Linked DNA regions of Arabidopsis thaliana. The protein of the gene in region 1 purifies or fractionates together with the protein of each later gene. This does not show direct contact. Each region holds a gene or a part of one and is shown in the gene's direction. Other genes may lie near its edges.

Region 1 (6,439 bases):
GGTCGATCGTGGGAAAAAAAAAAAAAAAGAGAGTCCCTATATGGCATGAAAGTAACGTTAGAAACGAAGGTACGAGTCGTGTCTTCACTAGATTCATTCTAATAAAGTAAGGAAGTTGTATTCATAAATAAAGAATAGATATCTATTGATGTTACGTCCCTCACTAAGGCTTGTGAGACAAAGTAGTGGGCTCAAATATCTTAATTACCAACGTGAATCGAATTTATATAGATCATCGAAGAAAGGTCAATTTACAAACAAAGAGAAACTTCAAATTAAGGCCCTATATAAATAGTTAGTTGGGGACGAACCACAGTAGGATCAGGGACTATATCAGTCTCTATCTTTCTCTCTCTCTTCTGATTGTCCGAGTTGTGTCTGCTAAGAAGAGAGAGAAACTTAAAACCCTAAATTTCAAATCAGAAAATATAGAGTTTGAAGGAAACTAAAAGATGGTACATTCGAGGAAGTTCCGAGGTGTCCGCCAGCGACAATGGGGTTCTTGGGTCTCTGAGATTCGCCATCCTCTATTGTAAGTAATTGGCTCTCTATATACATATATGATCTCCATTGTTTACTGTTTTCCTGCTTAGGATTACATATTATATAATGTTGTAGTTGCTTTTCTCATATGAAGCTACTATCTTTATTCTTTAGTATATTTCATCAAAACTTTATTTGTATATTAAAACAAACGCTCTACTATTGCTTAACAATCTACAAAATATTAAAAGGAATTAAAAGTTAAAACCAACCATGCATGCTAATCAAAGTTAAGTTATCGACTGATTTTCATCTACTTGATTCTTTGATTATTTTTGTAAATTAAATGTGGTAATTTCTAAGGTTAGTTTGGATTTCAGCTCAAAACTTAATTGAAATGTTTACTTGGATTTTGTAACTAATATAAAAATTACTAAAATCCTTTTTTAACGTGAATGTTATATGATACCAAAACGTTAAAAATTATATTTCAAAATTCATATCATCATATGTAGTGTATTTAGTATTTACACGTGTGTGTGATATATTAATCAGGAAGAGAAGAGTGTGGCTTGGAACTTTCGAAACGGCAGAAGCGGCTGCAAGAGCATACGACCAAGCGGCTCTTCTAATGAACGGCCAAAACGCTAAGACCAATTTCCCTGTCGTAAAATCAGAGGAAGGCTCCGATCACGTTAAAGATGTTAACTCTCCGTTGATGTCACCAAAGTCATTATCTGAGCTTTTGAACGCTAAGCTAAGGAAGAGCTGCAAAGACCTAACGCCTTCTTTGACGTGTCTCCGTCTTGATACTGACAGTTCCCACATTGGAGTTTGGCAGAAACGGGCCGGGTCGAAAACAAGTCCGACTTGGGTCATGCGCCTCGAACTTGGGAACGTAGTCAACGAAAGTGCGGTTGACTTAGGGTTGACTACGATGAACAAACAAAACGTTGAGAAAGAAGAAGAAGAAGAAGAAGCTATTATTAGTGATGAGGATCAGTTAGCTATGGAGATGATCGAGGAGTTGCTGAATTGGAGTTGACTTTTGACTTTAACTTGTTGCAAGTCCACAAGGGGTAAGGGTTTTCATTGTTTTCCGGTTTTTAATATTTTTAAAAAGTTTATTATGTGATGGATTTCCTTTATTTATCGATTATACATGTAAGAAAATTGTCAAAAATACATGTAAAAAAATGTAATATATACAGATTTGTATTTTTTTGTGTGATGAAAGTATACATGCTTGTTGTATTGATTGATATAAAAGATTGTTCGATTTAAGTATTCTCTTGTTTTAATTAATGGGCCTACAATTTTGTTGGTCCTTCAAACACAAACATATATACATATACATTTTTGCAGCCACTTTGTAAAATAAACCTCAAGTTGAGACTTATTTACAGTGGCTGCCACTGGCATTTAATAATTATTTTTGATAATTAGAAAGTAAATCTTCGAATTAAATATTTGACATTTAACTATATTCCCAAAATCTCTCTACATTAACTACACGATTAGTTACTAAAATAAAACTTCCAAAATATTTAACATCATTTAAAAATTACAAAATTATCATTTTTGATATTGCTTTTTTGCATGACTATAACAATTCGATTATACGCATCAACCCACAGAGATATTTGATAGCAATTAATTATTACAAAATTACAAAATATTTAGACAATGATTCATAAACATATCATAAATAAGATCAATATTAATAAAATAAATAGTTTTTTTTACGGGACGGATTGGCGGGACGAGTTTAGCAGGACGTAACTTAATAACAATTGTAAACTATAAAATAAAAATATTTTATAGATAGATACAATTTGCAAACTTTTATATATACTAACTTAAAAAAAAAATATTGTCCCCTGCGGTATAAGACGGGTTAAAAATCTAGTTGTTATTATTAAAGGAAATAAAATATCCTCATAAAACAATTTGTTGTAATCTATCTTTGGGCTAATGTTCTTATCCTACAAGACGAACCCTGACCGTATTCGTCGTAGAAAAAAAATTGCTTCGATCCCATCATTGAGTTCAATAATCGGCGCACAAAGGCCGATTCATAAAAACTCTAGGCCCATTAAAGTAAAGCCCATTCTCAACCCTATCCAGTCTCCCTGTATATATATATTTACGACACCAACCCAGCGTTGATATTTAATTTTCTTCAGTCAGAGATTTCGAAACCCTAGTCGATTTCGAGATCCAACTAACTCTGCTCCTTATCTCAGGTAAAATTCTCGCTCGAGAACTCAATTGCTTATCCAAAGTTCCAACTGAAGATGCTTTCCTACTGAATCTTAGGTTAATGTTTTGGATTTGGAATCTTACCCGAAATTTCTCTGCAGCTTGTTGAATTTGCGAAGTATGGGAGACGCTAGAGACAACGAAGCCTACGAGGAGGAGCTCTTGGACTATGAAGAAGAAGACGAGAAGGTCCCAGATTCTGGAAACAAAGTTAACGGCGAAGCTGTGAAAAAGTGAGTTTTATGGTTTCCTCGATATGTTTCATGTATACTACTGTGTGTTTAAATTTGTCGATTCTTAGATTACTACTTGATAACAAGTAGCAGTATGTGTTTAATTAGTTGCTTAACATATAACAATTGACTGAGTTCTTCATTGCTATAATTCCTGAAACCCACCCAATATTAGACTGTCGTGTGTTTCTCATATTGTATTTTCTCTTTGTGACAGAGGGTACGTGGGAATACACAGTTCTGGATTCAGAGACTTCCTTTTGAAACCGGAGCTTCTCAGAGCTATTGTTGACTCAGGATTTGAACATCCATCTGAAGGTAATTACCAATAAAAATTCAATTTTGTTGCCTTTCACCATTCTATTACTGAATCTGAATGATATGGTAGAATTTACAGAAGTTTCTTCTCCATAAGCTTTTTAGGTGTCCGGAGACTTTTAATTATATGTACTTCGTCTAGTTTTGAGAAGATATGTTGGTTTAAGATATTTTACTTTATCTGGGTCCCTTGCTTATCACCTAACTAAGTCCAAAATCCAAAAGTTTTGTGTTGATTATAAGGTTAAATTCTTCTTTAGTTTCCTGTAATAATTTTTTTTAGTTTTCTGTCTATTAACGTTTCACTGATTACTTTTTCCAGGTAATAAACGCTAATTTCGATCTATTGATTTGGAGTGAGCTTAACATGTGCTAAAGCCACCAATTTAAAAGATATGGAGGTTATCATCTACTTATAAAGGGTTTCTTCGGTGCTATTTTCTTTGGTTCTCCACCAGTGCAACACGAATGTATCCCTCAAGCTATCTTGGGTATGGATGTTATCTGCCAAGCAAAGTCTGGTATGGGGAAGACTGCTGTGTTTGTCCTGTCTACTCTACAACAGATTGAACCATCTCCTGGCCAGGTTTCTGCACTTGTCTTGTGCCATACAAGAGAGCTAGCTTACCAGGTATGACCTTCTTGTTTCACTCAGGTTCTTGGCTTATAGTCGTGTTTTACGTCTTCAAGTTCTCTAATGCTTACTATGCCTTGATGCTGAAAATTACTTGCAGATCTGCAATGAGTTTGTGCGATTCAGTACCTATCTGCCTGATACAAAAGTTTCGGTGTTCTATGGTGGAGTCAACATTAAAATTCACAAAGACTTGCTGAAGAATGAATGTCCTCACATTGTTGTTGGTACCCCTGGTCGAGTGCTTGCACTTGCCAGGGAGAAAGATCTCTCTTTGAAGAATGTGAGGCATTTTATTCTTGATGAGTGTGATAAAATGCTCGAGTCACTTGGTATGCTGATTTCTGACATCATTATTACATCGATCCCTGAATAATTTTATGTTTTAACACTTCAACTTGTCTTTACCAGACATGCGAAGGGATGTGCAGGAGATTTTCAAGATGACTCCTCATGACAAACAAGTAATGATGTTCTCAGCAACGCTCAGCAAAGAGATACGCCCAGTCTGCAAGAAGTTTATGCAAGATGTAATGTTCCATGGCCAATTCTCTCTCCCTTTGCAAGTCTTCTAGTTTTCATCTATTTTTAGCCTTCTATGGGTGATCATAGCATTATTTGAGCATCTTCTGCGGTTCTGCCCTTGAAAAGCTGAAACTGATCTCTGGATGGGTCTCAATCCAATAATGCTTTGGGTAGTTTCTAGAGAACGAGACTGTGAGTGTGAGACTCTTTAGCTTTGGTATGGTTTCTATCGGTGATCATAGCATTATTTGAGCATCTTCTGTTGTTCTGCCCTGGAAAAGTTGCAACTGATCTCTGGAAGGATCTCAACCTAATAATGCTTTGGGTAGTTTGTAGGGGTTGAGAACTCTGAGTGGAGACTCTGTAGCTTTGGTATGATTGAGTGACCGTTGCACAACAGGATTTCCTTTCATCTTAACCTTTTATTCAGTTTCAATTTCTTTGAAAATCTAGCAGTGGTGGGTGGGTTTTGGGTCGGGGTACTGTGTTTTCCCAAGGTTTCATCGTGCTCGTATGGGTCTCAATGTTCCGAGCAATATTGATGTTTCATAGCAAAACTCACATCTTTGAAGAGAAAAGGTGGACGAGGATCTCAGTTCAGGGGATCTCCATCCATCTTCACTTTTGTAGTGTAAATCATTTCCTGAGGAAAGCTAGCTAATACTTCTTACCTGGTATCTGTTCCTTTCAGCCAATGGAAATATATGTTGATGATGAAGCCAAGTTGACTCTTCATGGACTTGTCCAGGTACGTTTAACTGGTTTGAGGTCTTCGTATTCAATGTAAATATATGTTGTTGTTTGATACTTAAGTGACCTTTTTTCTGTTCTACTGTAACAGCACTACATCAAACTGAGCGAGATGGAGAAAAATCGCAAGTTGAATGACCTTCTTGATGCGTTGGACTTCAATCAAGTTGTCATTTTTGTGAAGAGCGTGAGCAGGGCTGCGGAGCTGAACAAGTTACTGGTGGAATGCAATTTCCCCTCAATATGCATACACTCTGGCATGTCTCAAGAAGAGAGGTTTGTACATTCTCTTAAAAATTCAATGTTTCTGAAGGACCCTACCTGCTCTTAAAGCCCTCATGGAGAGTCCAATTCTTAAGCCTAATACGATATGTTATGTAGGTTGACTCGATACAAAAGTTTCAAGGAAGGGCACAAGAGGATCCTTGTGGCGACTGACTTGGTAGGAAGAGGGATTGACATAGAGCGTGTCAACATTGTTATCAACTATGACATGCCAGATTCTGCGGATACCTATCTTCATAGGGTAAGTATATAATCCTGAGATTTATTATTTGATCGTTGATGAAAGGGCTCTTGTAACTTTACCGTTTTGCTGTGTGTATGGGATAGGTTGGGAGAGCTGGTAGATTTGGAACCAAGGGTCTTGCAATCACATTTGTTGCATCTGCTTCAGATTCAGAGGTCCTTAATCAGGTATGGTGTTTGATCTTTTAATAAATTCCATGGAAAAAGTCCCCATGATATTGAGTTGGGTATTTAGTAAAGTGGCAAGTATAAATGTTGGACAGGTTCAAGAGAGGTTTGAGGTCGATATAAAGGAGCTTCCTGAGCAGATTGATACATCGACTTACAGTAAGTTTTAAATCCCATTACTAAATGTGAAAAAGGCTGGTTTTGTCTGGTATTGATATTAACTTAGTTTCTTCTTCGTATTCTTTGCTCAGTGCCGTCTTAAACAAGTAGCATCATCTCTGAGGAACGAACCTCTTCAGATTTCAACCTTTTAGGTGTTCAAAGGGGTCATGGAGGTCCACAACTATCTCTCACACCGTTTGTTGCTTCGCTATTTTAGACTTTTCTATGAGGACAAGTTTTTCCATATATTTAGACCGTTTTGTAACTCTTGAAAAATGAGATTGAGCTACTCTCCAAATCGCGCACAGTTGAGAGCTCTCCTGTTTTTTGTACTAGTGATGGTTATCTTTAAAATATTAAGATTTCAGGATTTATT
Region 2 (6,439 bases), on another chromosome or scaffold:
TAGGTTTCATCCGACGGATGAGGAGCTTGTAGGGTATTATCTCTCTAAAAAAGTGCTTCTCAAAAAAACGAGCAAGATTGATGAGATCGTCAGCCAAATTGATATCTATAAATTTGATCCGTGGGATCTTCCAAGTAAGTTTGTTTTACTCACTCTTGCTTTTTTCTGTTTTTTGCACTCCAAACCATGCAAACACAAATAGAAAAAAAATTAGGTCTAACTTTTATGAGAAAAACAAAAGTAAAGTCGTGTATGCATGTTTGTGAAGTAAAATTAACACATAAATTATTGTTATAAACTGATGATCAAACATAATTTTTGTTTGAAGGGTCGAGGAATACAGAGAAGGAGAGCTACTTCTTTTGTAAGAGAGGAAGGAAATACAGAAACAGCATAAGACCGAACCGAGTGACTGGTTCCGGTTTCTGGAAAGCCACAGGGATAGACAAGCCTGTCTATTCCGATGGATCCAACAAAGCCGTGATCGGTCTAAAGAAGACACTCGTTTATTACCTAGGAAGCGCCGGGAAAGGAAACAAGACGGATTGGATGATGCACGAGTTTCGTCTCCCTACAGCCAATGACACAATCCCCGGTGGCCCTACACACTCTAACCCTACTCCAACTTCCTTGCTACACGCGGTAAGTTTGCTATCTCTTGATCATGATCATGCATGGTTGGCCACTATAAACGCTTCACATGGCAAAAATACATAGGGTTTGAGAAAGAATGCTCATGGATGGTTCTTATTAACTATATAATTGCAGGAAGTATGGACGTTATGCCGGATATTTAAGAGAACTGTGTCTAGTCGAAAATACACTCCGGACTGGAGAGAATTAGCAAATGGCAAACGTGTGAAGCAGCAACAATCTAATTACCAAGAAGCTTATATAAATTTTGGGGACAATGAAAGTAGTAGTAGTACCAACGTGATGAACGTTAGGGAAGGCAAAGGGAACTACGAGAGAAGCGTTTTCCAGCTTCAGCAAACGCCTTATCAACATCAAAACCAGCCAATTCTCATGGACACCACACACGTTGATTCGTTTCAACATTTCTCCAACGATAACATTCACCATGAAACCTACGAGACTTGGCCGGACGAGCTTCGATCGGTTGTGGAATTTGCTTTCCCACCTTCTTTTCTTAGTTAGATCTCTAGAATAATTAACAACTAATATGTATACATATTACATATTACTAGCTTGGACGTGTTGTATCATCAGATCTCTACTGTATACATGGATCGTGTGTATATGAATATGCACCTGTTTGAATTCTCAGGTTGATCCACACGTATATAGTATGTATTAATGTCAATTTAATCTCGGGAACTATTTGCATATTTTGTTTTATTAGCCCTCTTATTTTATGTTTTTCGGTTAGACGAATAGTGGACTTGTGGTCTTGTTATCTTTAATAAAGTAACAAAAGCGTTTAAAAAAACATTAAGAAGCCCACAAAGGAAACAAAGCCCATTAGGTGGAGGAGATGAAACGATGGAACTTCTTGTCTTGTCACGGATGAGAGAAATATTGGAGAGAACCATTGGAGAGAAAGCAGAGTTACTTGCCAATTTCGAATTCTGAGAGCGAAGAGCCGAGATTCTGTTTGTAGTTTGGATGATGAATACGATTGTTCATGTTCCTTTTATCTCCAGATTTCGTAAATTCGTCAATTTAAGAGACGATTAGCTCAGTTTACAATCGAGTCAGTATATATCGAATTAAACTGCAGAGGTTTTGGGTGTTCCCGAGACATGACTAGGATATGGTTCAATAAACAGTTGGAATTGGCGTGAAAATTGTAGATAGGTTAAGCTTTATACTTCAAATCATGCAATCGAGTAGTCTGATATCATTTTACTGACTGATTCCACTGGTTATCCAGTAGCCAACTATGTACGTGTGATTGATTGTGTAGTAATTTCCGTCTTGTACTTTGTAAGTTGGGTTCTTATTCTGCTGCATTTGGCTATTCCGTGTCTGATGACCTTTGTTTTTTCCTTTTGCAGCTTTGTTAGAGTCTCATTTAGATCCATGTCTCTTTGCTTTAATTGGTCACAATGCTTCTTCTGGTTTTATTGCAGCGGAAACGGTTTATTGAACAAACGAAGACTCTTTATGGTATGAATTTCCTGGCATCTGTTTCAAGTTTACTTTCTAAAACCTGGAAGTTCGGCACATGAGCAGTTCCTTTTAGAACAGTTTGTTTACTTAAACCTTTGACGCCCTTTTGTGTACTGGTATAAACCTCCTGCCTCTTCTCTCATCTGTTTCAGGCTTCGATTCCACCCTTCATATTACAGTCGCAATTACAAACTAGTGTCAATGAGAGAACCCAATTCGATCAGAGGTATGCTTTCTCTTCTTGACAACAAGTAAAGTAAACAGGGTTTCTGTTTCTCCACTTCCTTTTATGGTTTTGGTTTTGAAAAGTGAAATCTTTATGTGAAAGTTCCATTTTTTTGTTTTAATAGGATTTGAGATTAATGAGTAATTTAAAATAAGTGAGCCTATTTAGGCCCTAAAGACAAAAAAAATCCTAACTTTTTGTCTTTTTTTATTAAACTAAAATATCAGGGTCATGATTTACAATCTTTATTTTTTCTTGATACTTTTCATGATTTTAGTTTGTAAAAAAAAATGTATAAAATCATAAACCAATAACACCATAATTAAAATCATTAAGAATCATAGATTCATTTGTTTTAGTTTAATAACATCAATTTTTAATGACTTTATTAAATTATGAATCTAATAACTCAAAATTTATGAAGACTTTAGATTATTTTGTATAAATCAAAATCTAATAACACTAACTGTTAACAGAATCTTATAAAATCTTAATTTAATTACACAAGATTTTTTATAACATTAAATCGCTAAAAATTTATATAAATCGTAAACCAATAATACCCCCTAATTTTTTTAAAAAAAATAGGATTTCAGATTAATGAGTAATTTAAAATAAGTGAGCCCATTTAGGCCCTTAAGACAAAATAAAACCCGACAGAGATTCTCTGTGTGAAACCCTAAATATTAAAATCAGAAGGCAAAGGCACTTTCTTATAATATACAGAGAGTAACGCTTCTGCTCATCTTTTCACGTCCAAGGCTGCACCCGTACTCGCTCCAGGTTGGTTAAGATTTTAGTTTACCTTCGCTCCCTCTTCTTCTTCTTCTTTTCCCATTTATTAATTTTTTACAGATTGTTGATTCTCTCTTCTTCTCTCTACTGCTGATCTATGAATTCTAGTATTATTTTCCGATAATTTTCTTACTGTCTCTTCTTTCTCTGCAGAGAATTTTGTAGGCGTGAGGAAAAAAGCAAGTCAAGATGGTAAGCTTTTTTTCTTTTCTTTCAGAGTACTATTCATTTATTTTTTGTGTAGTGATCTGCCTTGTGTTTTGTTTAACACGTTTTTGTTAAAAAATCTTGCAGGTGAAGTTTACAGTTGAAGAGCAACGGAAAATTACGGATCGTAAACACAACATCCGTAACATGTCTGTCATCGCCCATGTCGATCATGGTATTTATCTCTTTAAAAATTGTTCGTTGTATATGAATCTCATATCACTCTGTTTTTATGGCTTATTGATGTTAAAGTATAACATAACATAAAAAAACGATTTTATTTTATATATCTTTTATTTATATAGTTCTGTTTCTTTTTTGTTGATGAAATATTTGCTCTTTTATACATATGTTTGCTAAGCATGTGTTTTTTCTATCAAACTTGATACTAAATAAAAGTTTTGTGATCTTTTAATGATAGGGAAATCTACACTTACGGATTCACTTGTTGCTGCTGCTGGTATCATTGCTCAAGAAACTGCGGGTGATGTGCGTATGACTGATACTCGTGCTGATGAGGCAGAACGTGGTATCACCATCAAGTCCACTGGTATCTCTCTCTACTATGAGATGACTGATGCGTCTCTGAAGAGTTTCACCGGAGCTAGAGATGGCAATGAGTACCTGATCAACCTCATTGACTCTCCTGGACACGTTGACTTTTCTTCAGAGGTCACAGCTGCTCTCCGTATCACTGATGGTGCTCTTGTGGTTGTTGACTGCATTGAAGGTGTTTGTGTGCAGACTGAGACTGTGCTCAGGCAATCTCTTGGTGAAAGGATTAGGCCTGTTTTGACTGTCAACAAGATGGACAGGTGTTTCCTTGAGCTTAAGGTTGATGGTGAGGAGGCGTATCAGAATTTCCAGAGGGTCATTGAGAATGCTAATGTCATCATGGCCACGCATGAGGATCCTCTCCTCGGTGATGTTCAGGTTTACCCTGAAAAGGGGACAGTAGCTTTCTCTGCTGGTCTCCACGGATGGGCTTTCACTCTCACCAATTTTGCTAAGATGTATGCTTCCAAGTTTGGTGTCTCTGAATCTAAAATGATGGAGAGGCTGTGGGGTGAGAACTTCTTTGATTCTGCAACCAGAAAATGGACGACCAAAAACTGGCTCCCCGACCTGCAAGCGTGGGTTTGTTCAGTTCTGTTATGAACCCATTAAGATAATGATCAACACTTGTATGAATGATCAGAAGGATAAGCTGTGGCCGATGTTAGAGAAGCTTGGTATTCAGATGAAGCCCGATGAGAAAGAGTTGATGGGTAAACCTTTGATGAAGCGTGTCATGCAGGCATGGCTTCCTGCGAGTACCGCTCTTCTTGAAATGATGATCTTTCACTTACCATCACCCTACACTGCGCAGAGGTACCGTGTTGAGAACTTGTATGAAGGTCCCCTTGATGATAAGTATGCTGCAGCTATCAGAAACTGTGATCCAGACGGTCCTTTGATGCTCTACGTCTCTAAGATGATTCCCGCATCTGACAAGGGCAGGTTCTTTGCCTTCGGTCGTGTCTTTTCTGGTACGGTTTCTACTGGTATGAAAGTCAGGATCATGGGTCCTAACTATGTCCCTGGTGAAAAGAAAGATCTGTATGTCAAAAGTGTGCAGAGGACTGTCATTTGGATGGGTAAGAAACAAGAGACAGTGGAGGATGTTCCTTGTGGTAATACTGTTGCTATGGTTGGGCTGGATCAGTTCATCACCAAGAATGGTACCTTGACGAATTAGAAGGAAGTGGACGCACACCCGCTTCGTGCCATGAAGTTTTCTGTCTCTCCCGTTGTTCGTGTTGCTGTGAAATGCAAGCTAGCGTCTGACCTTCCCAAGCTTGTAGAAGGTCTTAAGAGGCTGGCCAAGTCTGACCCTATGGTTCTATGCACAATGGAAGAGTCTGGTGAGCACATTGTTGCAGGTGCTGGAGAACTCCACATTGAAATTTGTGTCAAGGATCTTCAAGATTTTATGGGTGGTGCGGATATCATAGTGTCAGATCCTGTTGTTTCGTTACGAGAGACAGTCTTTGAGAGGTCTTGCCGGACTGTGATGAGTAAGTCCCCAAACAAACACAACCGTCTTTACATGGAAGCCAGACCAATGGAGGATGGTCTAGCAGAGGCCATTGATGAAGGCCGCATCGGTCCATCTGATGACCCCAAGATCCGATCCAAGATTCTTGCAGAAGAGTTTGGGTGGGACAAGGATCTTGCCAAGAAAATCTGGGCGTTTGGACCTGACACCACAGGGCCCAACATGGTGGTTGACATGTGTAAGGGAGTGCAGTACTTGAATGAAATCAAGGACTCAGTGGTTGCTGGGTTCCAATGGGCTTCAAAGGAAGGTCCTTTAGCAGAGGAAAACATGAGAGGGGTCTGTTATGAGGTGTGTGATGTTGTGCTCCATGCTGATGCAATCCACAGAGGATGTGGTCAGATGATCTCAACAGCAAGAAGAGCCATCTATGCATCACAACTCACGGCCAAGCCTAGACTTCTTGAGCCGGTTTACATGGTCGAGATACAAGCACCTGAGGGAGCTTTAGGAGGAATCTACAGTGTGTTGAATCAGAAGCGTGGACATGTGTTTGAAGAAATGCAAAGGCCAGGAACGCCTCTCTACAACATCAAAGCCTACCTTCCTGTGGTCGAGTCATTTGGTTTCTCAGGTCAGCTAAGGGCTGCAACCTCAGGACAAGCCTTTCCTCAGTGTGTGTTTGACCATTGGGACATGATGTCTTCTGATCCGCTTGAGACTGGCTCACAGGCTGCGACATTGGTAGCTGATATCAGGAAGAGAAAAGGTTTGAAGCTACAAATGACTCCACTCTCTGATTATGAAGACAAATTGTAAGCGGAACATAGCTCCTCTAACTCTTTCTCAAAGACTCTTATCTCCCTCTTAGGCTTGTTTATTGTTCACATTTTTGATTCAGACTTACACCCTGTTTTTTGTTCACTCTTTTTACTTCATAGACCTATCAATTCAGTAGTATTGTTTATACTAGTTGAGTTATTTTCTGTTTCATAACTTGTTTTTTTTGTTCTCTTCGATGACGAACGTCCTAAGCGTCG
Region 3 (6,439 bases), on another chromosome or scaffold:
CTAAATTTATATCATGTGATTTGTGGCTTTGTTCTTATCCTCTCACTTGATCTTATACAGCTCGGCATCCGCGGATTGATGGGAAAGAGTTCTTTAGACAAGCCAGGTATATATAAGTTCTAAAGTTCCTAGAGCCAGCAACTAGTATATGAGAATGAGTGATAGATAGATAAGGAATTGTTTTGAATTTTCAGGAGCCGTTTGTCTTACGAACAGTTCAGTGCATTCCTGGCTAACATCAAGGAACTTAACGCCCGGAAGCAGGGCCGCGAGGTAATAACCTCATAAGCCATAACATAGTCCTTAACCAACTCTTTTAGTCTGAAATTTGTATAATGTTTGAATCCTAAAATGGTCTTATCTAATCTTTATCGCCAGGAAACATTACAGAAAGCAGAGGAAATATTTGGAAAGGAAAACAATGATCTTTACATATCCTTTAAGGGACTTCTCACAAGTGGGCGTTGAAACAAAAACTCACCAACTTCTAAGCTTTCTTTTCATGACCAATTAGTCATGACTGATTTCAAATTTGTAAAACCTCTTTAACCATAGAAGAGAATCAGGGAATTTTGTTCTTGCAAGTCCCAGTTCTTTTGCTAAGACTAAGAGTTTATATCTTTATTAGATATTAACCCGCGGTATACCGCGGACCTATATTTTTATTAAATAAAAAATAATTGAATATTTTTTAGGATGATTTAATAAATTTATGCTATTGTTTGATTTAAATGTATAATTCACCGCTAGACGAAATTTTATAACTCAAATTTTAAAGTTTTAAGTTGTATTTGTTTATTTTGTTAAATGTTTAATATTGTATAATTGTATTTTGATTGTTGTTTCTCGGATTTCACCCGTAGTACACCATTCCATATTAATATCGAATCAAACCCGTCAATTCTATGATTTCACCTGTGGTAGTATTTAATTGTATAATTATATTTTAATTGTCATTCTATGATTTCACTCCTAATTCTATCGCAAATTATTATCAACCCAAACCAGACAATTCTAAAATATTCCGTAGTACACCATCCCATATTAATATCGAATCAAGCCCGTCAATTCTAGGATTTCACCCGTGGTAGTATTTAATTGTATAATTATATTTTAATTATCATTCTAGGATTTCACTCCTAATTCTATCGCAAATTCTTATCAACCCAAACAGTCAATTATAAAATTTCACCCGTAGTATAATGTTTAAATATTTATAATGTTTAAATATTTATAATGTTTAAATTTCTTATAAAAGAATCAAAATGTGTTTTAAAAAAATTAAAGTTTTAAGTTTTTTTTTTTAATATTGTTAATTTTGTTTAGTGTTTAAGATTATATAATTATATTATGATTGTTATTATATGTTTTTTTCCATAGCATACTATCCCATGTTATTATCCACTCAAACCCGTCACACCATATAACCCCGTCCCGTGAAATTAAACACAAATTTGTCATTTTATTATAAATTTCAAATATTTATAAAATTAGAAACTTCAAAAAAGATTAATATTGACCCAAACTTCATCATTGAATTTTGAGTGTTATATCTAAGATTTCTCTCGCAGTATATCGTCCCGTATTAATATCTTTTATATTGTTTAAATTTCTTGTAAAATTTAATTTATAATTTTTTAAACTTTTTAAAGTTTCAATTTTTTAAAATAAATAACCCTAGTAAACAAACCATTTTAATTTTGGACACCTCATAAATCAAGTTTCATGCTCATTCGTAATCGAAATCATTTTGGTCCTTTTTATAGTATGGCTCTTGACCATTGTCCAATTTTTTTAAGCGATGTGGGACATTCTAAAATCGTAATTATTATCCACCCAAACCCGTCCTACCATATAACCCAGTCACGTGAAATTAAACATAATTTTGTCATTTTCTTATAAATTTCAATATTATAAAATTTGGAACTTAAAAAAATACAATATCGACCCAAAATTCATCATTGAATTTTGATTGTTATATTTAAGATTTTTTCTGTAATATATCGTCTCGTATTAATAAATTTTTTATATATTTATAATGTTAAATTTCTTGTAAAATTCAATTTATAATTCTTAAAACTTTATAAGTTTTAAAATTATAAATATTTAAAGCATTTTTTAAAGATAAACTTTATAAAAAAATTTAAAATTATAATATTTAACTTTTGATAAAGTTATAATATTTATAATTTTTTGAGACATTTTAAAGTTTCAATTCTTTAAAATAAAAAATCCCAGTAAAATCGGATAACTATTTTAATTTTGGACGCCTGATAAATCAAGCTTCCTGCTCATTCGTAATCAGAATCATTTTGGTCCTTTTATAATATGGGTCTGAACCATTGTCCAATTTTTCTAAGCGATGTGGGACATTGTACACATATTATTTCTTCATAGGTTGAATAATATATGTCCATTTAAAAAAATTAGAATTACATCATATTCAGAAAAAAATATAATATTTTATTAATTATATATATTTTATATAAATTCAAAATAAATAAAGTATAAGATCAAATAAAATTGAAAGAAGAATTATATATTTATGTTTAAATTAGGTAGAAATATTTTAGGAAATTAGTTAAGGTAAATAAGAAATATGGTTAGTTTAGAGATATTGTTTATATTAAATTTGGTAATTAAATCATTAATTTTCGTTTTTAATTATTAGTTTTTAGGTAACTTTTCCAAAAATTAATGTTATCTAAGATCAGAACAGAATTAAACATGTTATCCAGAATCCGAACAGAGTTAAACCGGGTAAAACCCACCCATTTGAATTAATTGTTGAATTATGGCTCAAATCTTCAACATTATCTTCAAAAATCCCCTCCAAAAATGTATATATAGATAACGGAAACAAGATTAATGTATCATCATTCATTCCTTGTTGATTTAATTAAACAGATGAACAAATGATATGTAATAATAAGGTCTCGGTTTACAGTGAAAGTGATTTAATTTAGTATCTTTGTTACTTCGATTATTGAATTGAGCGTGTGTACTTATGAAGATTAAATCGATGATGCATGGGCTCATGAAGATTAAAAAACTCAATAGACACTTAACCAGAATTAATGATATTGGCCCGATGAGTATTGGCCCATTAAGGCCCATTAAGAGAGCGAAAACCCTAAACGAGAAACAAGGGATATACTCAGAGCATCTTCCTTGGTTACTATATAATAAGCTTTAGGCTGCTAGACGCCTGCCTCCTTGCACCTCTTTTCTTTCTCTCGTTCTCATCTTTCTCTCTAAGGTTAGTCCCTTGTGTAGATCCTCTCTTCATCGATTCAATTTCATCTTCCTTGGTTTGATTTAGGAATTTTGTCACGATTTGGTGTTTAGATGATGGAGTCTTGCTGTTGATCTATGTTTATAGCACTTTGTTTCCATGGTTCTGTTGTTTCTTACCGTTTGTTGTGCATCGATCTGGTTTTGGTAGATCCCTCGTAGATAATAATCTGAATATGTCAAAGTTTTCTTACAAGTCTGTTGTGTTTTCAGTTTTGATTGATATTGTTATCCATGTAGTAGTCGATCATCCAAAAACTGGTTCAGTGTGATTCTCCGATCATCGCCGCTGATTTTATATTTATCATCATGTATAGATTTGCAGGTTTTATTTTGTTCGTTGTGTGTTTTTGTTCTTTGTTAAATTTAACCTCTATGCATTTGATGTACATGTTTTTGTGTTGGTCTCAGTTTCTCTTATTCTGTATAAGCTAAGCTAAAGTCTCCATGGTTAGTGTCTGTTTAGTATTAAAATATTTCAATTTGCTAATTCTTTATGTTTTTGTGATGATATTGCAGAGATTTTGTAGGTGACAATCAAAAGTTTGACAAAATGGTAAGACTTTTGTTTTTCTTACATTTATTTACATTATTACTATGTGGATACAAGCATATAACGATTTTATGAACTTGCAGGTGAAGTTTACAGCTGATGAGCTTCGAAGGATTATGGACTACAAACACAACATCCGTAATATGTCTGTTATTGCTCATGTCGACCACGGTATAATCTTCATCACTTTTTTTGTACTATTCTTGTCAGTTTTGATCTCTTGTTTGTTTACTGAATTTGCTGGTCGAATTGTAATCTGAATCTAATGCATCTCTTTATATACTAATGTTTATAGTCTGTTTTGAAATTAATAGCGTCTCTTATCTGTTTTCTGAGTTTGCTGAACGTTTAAAAAAGTTTAAACTAATGCATCTTTATTTCATGATCAACAGGGAAATCCACTCTTACTGATTCTTTGGTTGCTGCTGCTGGTATCATTGCCCAAGAGGTTGCTGGTGATGTTCGTATGACTGATACCAGAGCTGATGAGGCTGAACGTGGTATCACTATCAAGTCCACTGGTATTTCTCTCTACTACGAGATGACTGATGAATCCTTGAAGAGTTTCACTGGAGCCAGAGACGGAAACGAGTACCTCATCAATCTTATTGATTCACCTGGGCACGTTGACTTTTCTTCTGAGGTTACTGCTGCTCTCCGTATTACTGATGGTGCTCTTGTGGTGGTCGACTGCATTGAGGGTGTGTGTGTTCAGACTGAGACTGTTCTACGTCAGGCTCTTGGTGAGAGGATTCGACCTGTCTTGACTGTCAACAAGATGGACAGGTGTTTCCTTGAGCTTCAGGTTGATGGTGAGGAGGCTTACCAGACTTTCTCGAGGGTTATTGAGAACGCTAATGTCATCATGGCTACATACGAGGATCCTCTCCTTGGTGATGTTCAGGTTTACCCAGAGAAGGGAACTGTGGCGTTTTCTGCTGGTCTCCATGGATGGGCGTTTACACTGACCAACTTCGCCAAGATGTATGCTTCCAAGTTCGGTGTTGTTGAATCTAAGATGATGGAGAGGCTCTGGGGTGAGAATTTCTTTGACCCTGCCACCAGGAAGTGGAGTGGCAAAAACACTGGTTCCCCGACCTGCAAGCGTGGGTTTGTTCAGTTCTGCTATGAACCCATCAAGCAAATTATTGCTACTTGCATGAATGACCAGAAGGATAAGTTGTGGCCTATGTTGGCGAAGCTTGGTGTCTCAATGAAGAATGATGAGAAGGAGCTTATGGGTAAACCTCTAATGAAGCGTGTTATGCAGACTTGGCTCCCTGCAAGTACTGCACTACTTGAGATGATGATCTTTCATTTGCCATCTCCCCACACTGCCCAGAGGTACCGTGTTGAGAATCTGTATGAAGGTCCTCTTGATGATCAGTATGCAAATGCCATCAGGAACTGTGACCCCAATGGACCTCTCATGCTCTACGTATCCAAGATGATTCCAGCCTCTGACAAGGGTAGATTCTTTGCCTTCGGTCGTGTCTTTGCTGGTAAGGTTTCTACTGGTATGAAGGTCAGAATCATGGGTCCCAACTATATCCCTGGTGAGAAGAAGGATCTGTACACTAAGAGTGTTCAGAGGACTGTCATTTGGATGGGTAAGAGGCAAGAGACAGTGGAGGATGTCCCTTGTGGTAACACTGTTGCTATGGTTGGGCTGGATCAGTTCATCACCAAGAATGCTACATTGACTAATGAGAAGGAAGTTGATGCTCACCCCATTCGTGCTATGAAGTTTTCTGTGTCTCCTGTTGTTCGTGTTGCTGTTCAGTGTAAGGTTGCGTCTGACCTTCCCAAGTTGGTTGAGGGTCTCAAGAGGTTGGCCAAGTCTGATCCTATGGTTGTGTGTACAATGGAGGAATCAGGTGAGCACATTGTTGCTGGTGCAGGAGAACTCCATCTTGAGATTTGTCTTAAGGATCTTCAGGATGATTTCATGGGTGGTGCTGAAATTATCAAGTCAGACCCTGTGGTCTCCTTCCGTGAGACAGTTTGTGATAGATCTACTCGCACAGTTATGAGTAAGTCTCCTAACAAGCATAACCGTCTGTACATGGAAGCAAGACCCATGGAGGAAGGTCTAGCTGAGGCTATTGATGATGGACGTATTGGCCCAAGGGATGACCCTAAGATCAGATCCAAGATCTTGGCTGAGGAGTTTGGATGGGACAAGGATCTTGCAAAGAAGATCTGGGCTTTTGGACCTGAAACCACAGGGCCTAACATGGTTGTCGATATGTGTAAGGGAGTTCAGTACCTTAACGAAATCAAGGATTCAGTTGTTGCTGGTTTCCAGTGGGCGTCCAAGGAAGGTCCTCTTGCTGAAGAGAACATGAGAGGTATCTGTTTTGAGGTATGTGATGTGGTGCTTCACTCTGATGCCATCCACAGAGGAGGTGGTCAGGTTATCCCCACAGCCAGAAGGGTCATATACGCTTCCCAGATCACAGCTAAGCCCAGACTTTTGGAGCCGGTTTACATGGTTGAGATCCAGGCACCAGAGGGAGCTCTTGGAGGAATCTACAGTGTGCTGAATCAGAAGCGTGGACACGTGTTCGAGGAGATGCAGAGGCCAGGAAC

The links.
Region 2: the proteins of UAP56b (region 1) and AT3G12915 fractionate together in Arabidopsis thaliana (co-fractionation; one large-scale study listed by BioGRID). This does not show direct contact.
Region 3: the proteins of UAP56b (region 1) and LOS1 fractionate together in Arabidopsis thaliana (co-fractionation; one large-scale study listed by BioGRID). This does not show direct contact.

The regions. Positions count from the first base shown.
Region 1 is NC_003076.8:3,564,524-3,570,962, forward strand, and holds the start of UAP56b (DEAD/DEAH box RNA helicase family protein), read left to right. Parts: upstream 1-2,651; 5' UTR 2,652-2,729; intron 2,730-2,846; 5' UTR 2,847-2,865; coding exon 2,866-2,978; intron 2,979-3,195; coding exon 3,196-3,296; intron 3,297-3,754; coding exon 3,755-3,927; intron 3,928-4,030; coding exon 4,031-4,262; intron 4,263-4,341; coding exon 4,342-4,460; intron 4,461-4,629; coding exon 4,630-4,672; intron 4,673-4,791; coding exon 4,792-4,827; intron 4,828-4,911; coding exon of another isoform or gene 4,912-4,952; coding exon 4,953-5,050; intron 5,051-5,146; coding exon 5,147-5,203; intron 5,204-5,296; coding exon 5,297-5,481; intron 5,482-5,586; coding exon 5,587-5,731; intron 5,732-5,817; coding exon 5,818-5,901; intron 5,902-5,996; coding exon 5,997-6,060; intron 6,061-6,152; coding exon 6,153-6,163; 3' UTR 6,164-6,439. Other genes in the region: SHN2 (Integrase-type DNA-binding superfamily protein), read left to right, coding at 453-532, 1,039-1,528. UniProt on the Arabidopsis thaliana protein: ATP-dependent RNA helicase involved in pre-mRNA splicing. Required for the export of mRNA out of the nucleus. In addition to ssRNA and dsRNA, binds dsDNA, but not ssDNA.
Region 2 is NC_003074.8:4,109,491-4,115,929, forward strand, and holds the start of AT3G12915 (Ribosomal protein S5/Elongation factor G/III/V family protein), read left to right. Parts: upstream 1-3,343; coding exon 3,344-3,346; exon of another isoform or gene 3,347-3,448; coding exon 3,449-3,536; intron 3,537-3,666; exon of another isoform or gene 3,667-3,782; coding exon 3,783-4,498; coding exon of another isoform or gene 4,499-4,559; coding exon 4,560-5,082; coding exon of another isoform or gene 5,083-5,181; coding exon 5,182-6,218; 3' UTR 6,219-6,439. Other genes in the region: AT3G12910 (NAC (No Apical Meristem) domain transcriptional regulator superfamily protein), read left to right, coding at 1-134, 329-642, 769-1,158.
Region 3 is NC_003070.9:20,968,486-20,974,924, reverse strand, and holds the start of LOS1 (Ribosomal protein S5/Elongation factor G/III/V family protein), read left to right. Parts: upstream 1-3,182; 5' UTR 3,183-3,259; exon of another isoform or gene 3,260-3,813; 5' UTR 3,814-3,847; coding exon 3,848-3,850; intron 3,851-3,930; coding exon 3,931-4,018; intron 4,019-4,239; coding exon 4,240-6,439. Other genes in the region: AT1G56080 (interactor of constitutive active ROPs protein), read left to right, coding at 61-106, 195-273, 379-468. UniProt on the Arabidopsis thaliana protein: Catalyzes the GTP-dependent ribosomal translocation step during translation elongation.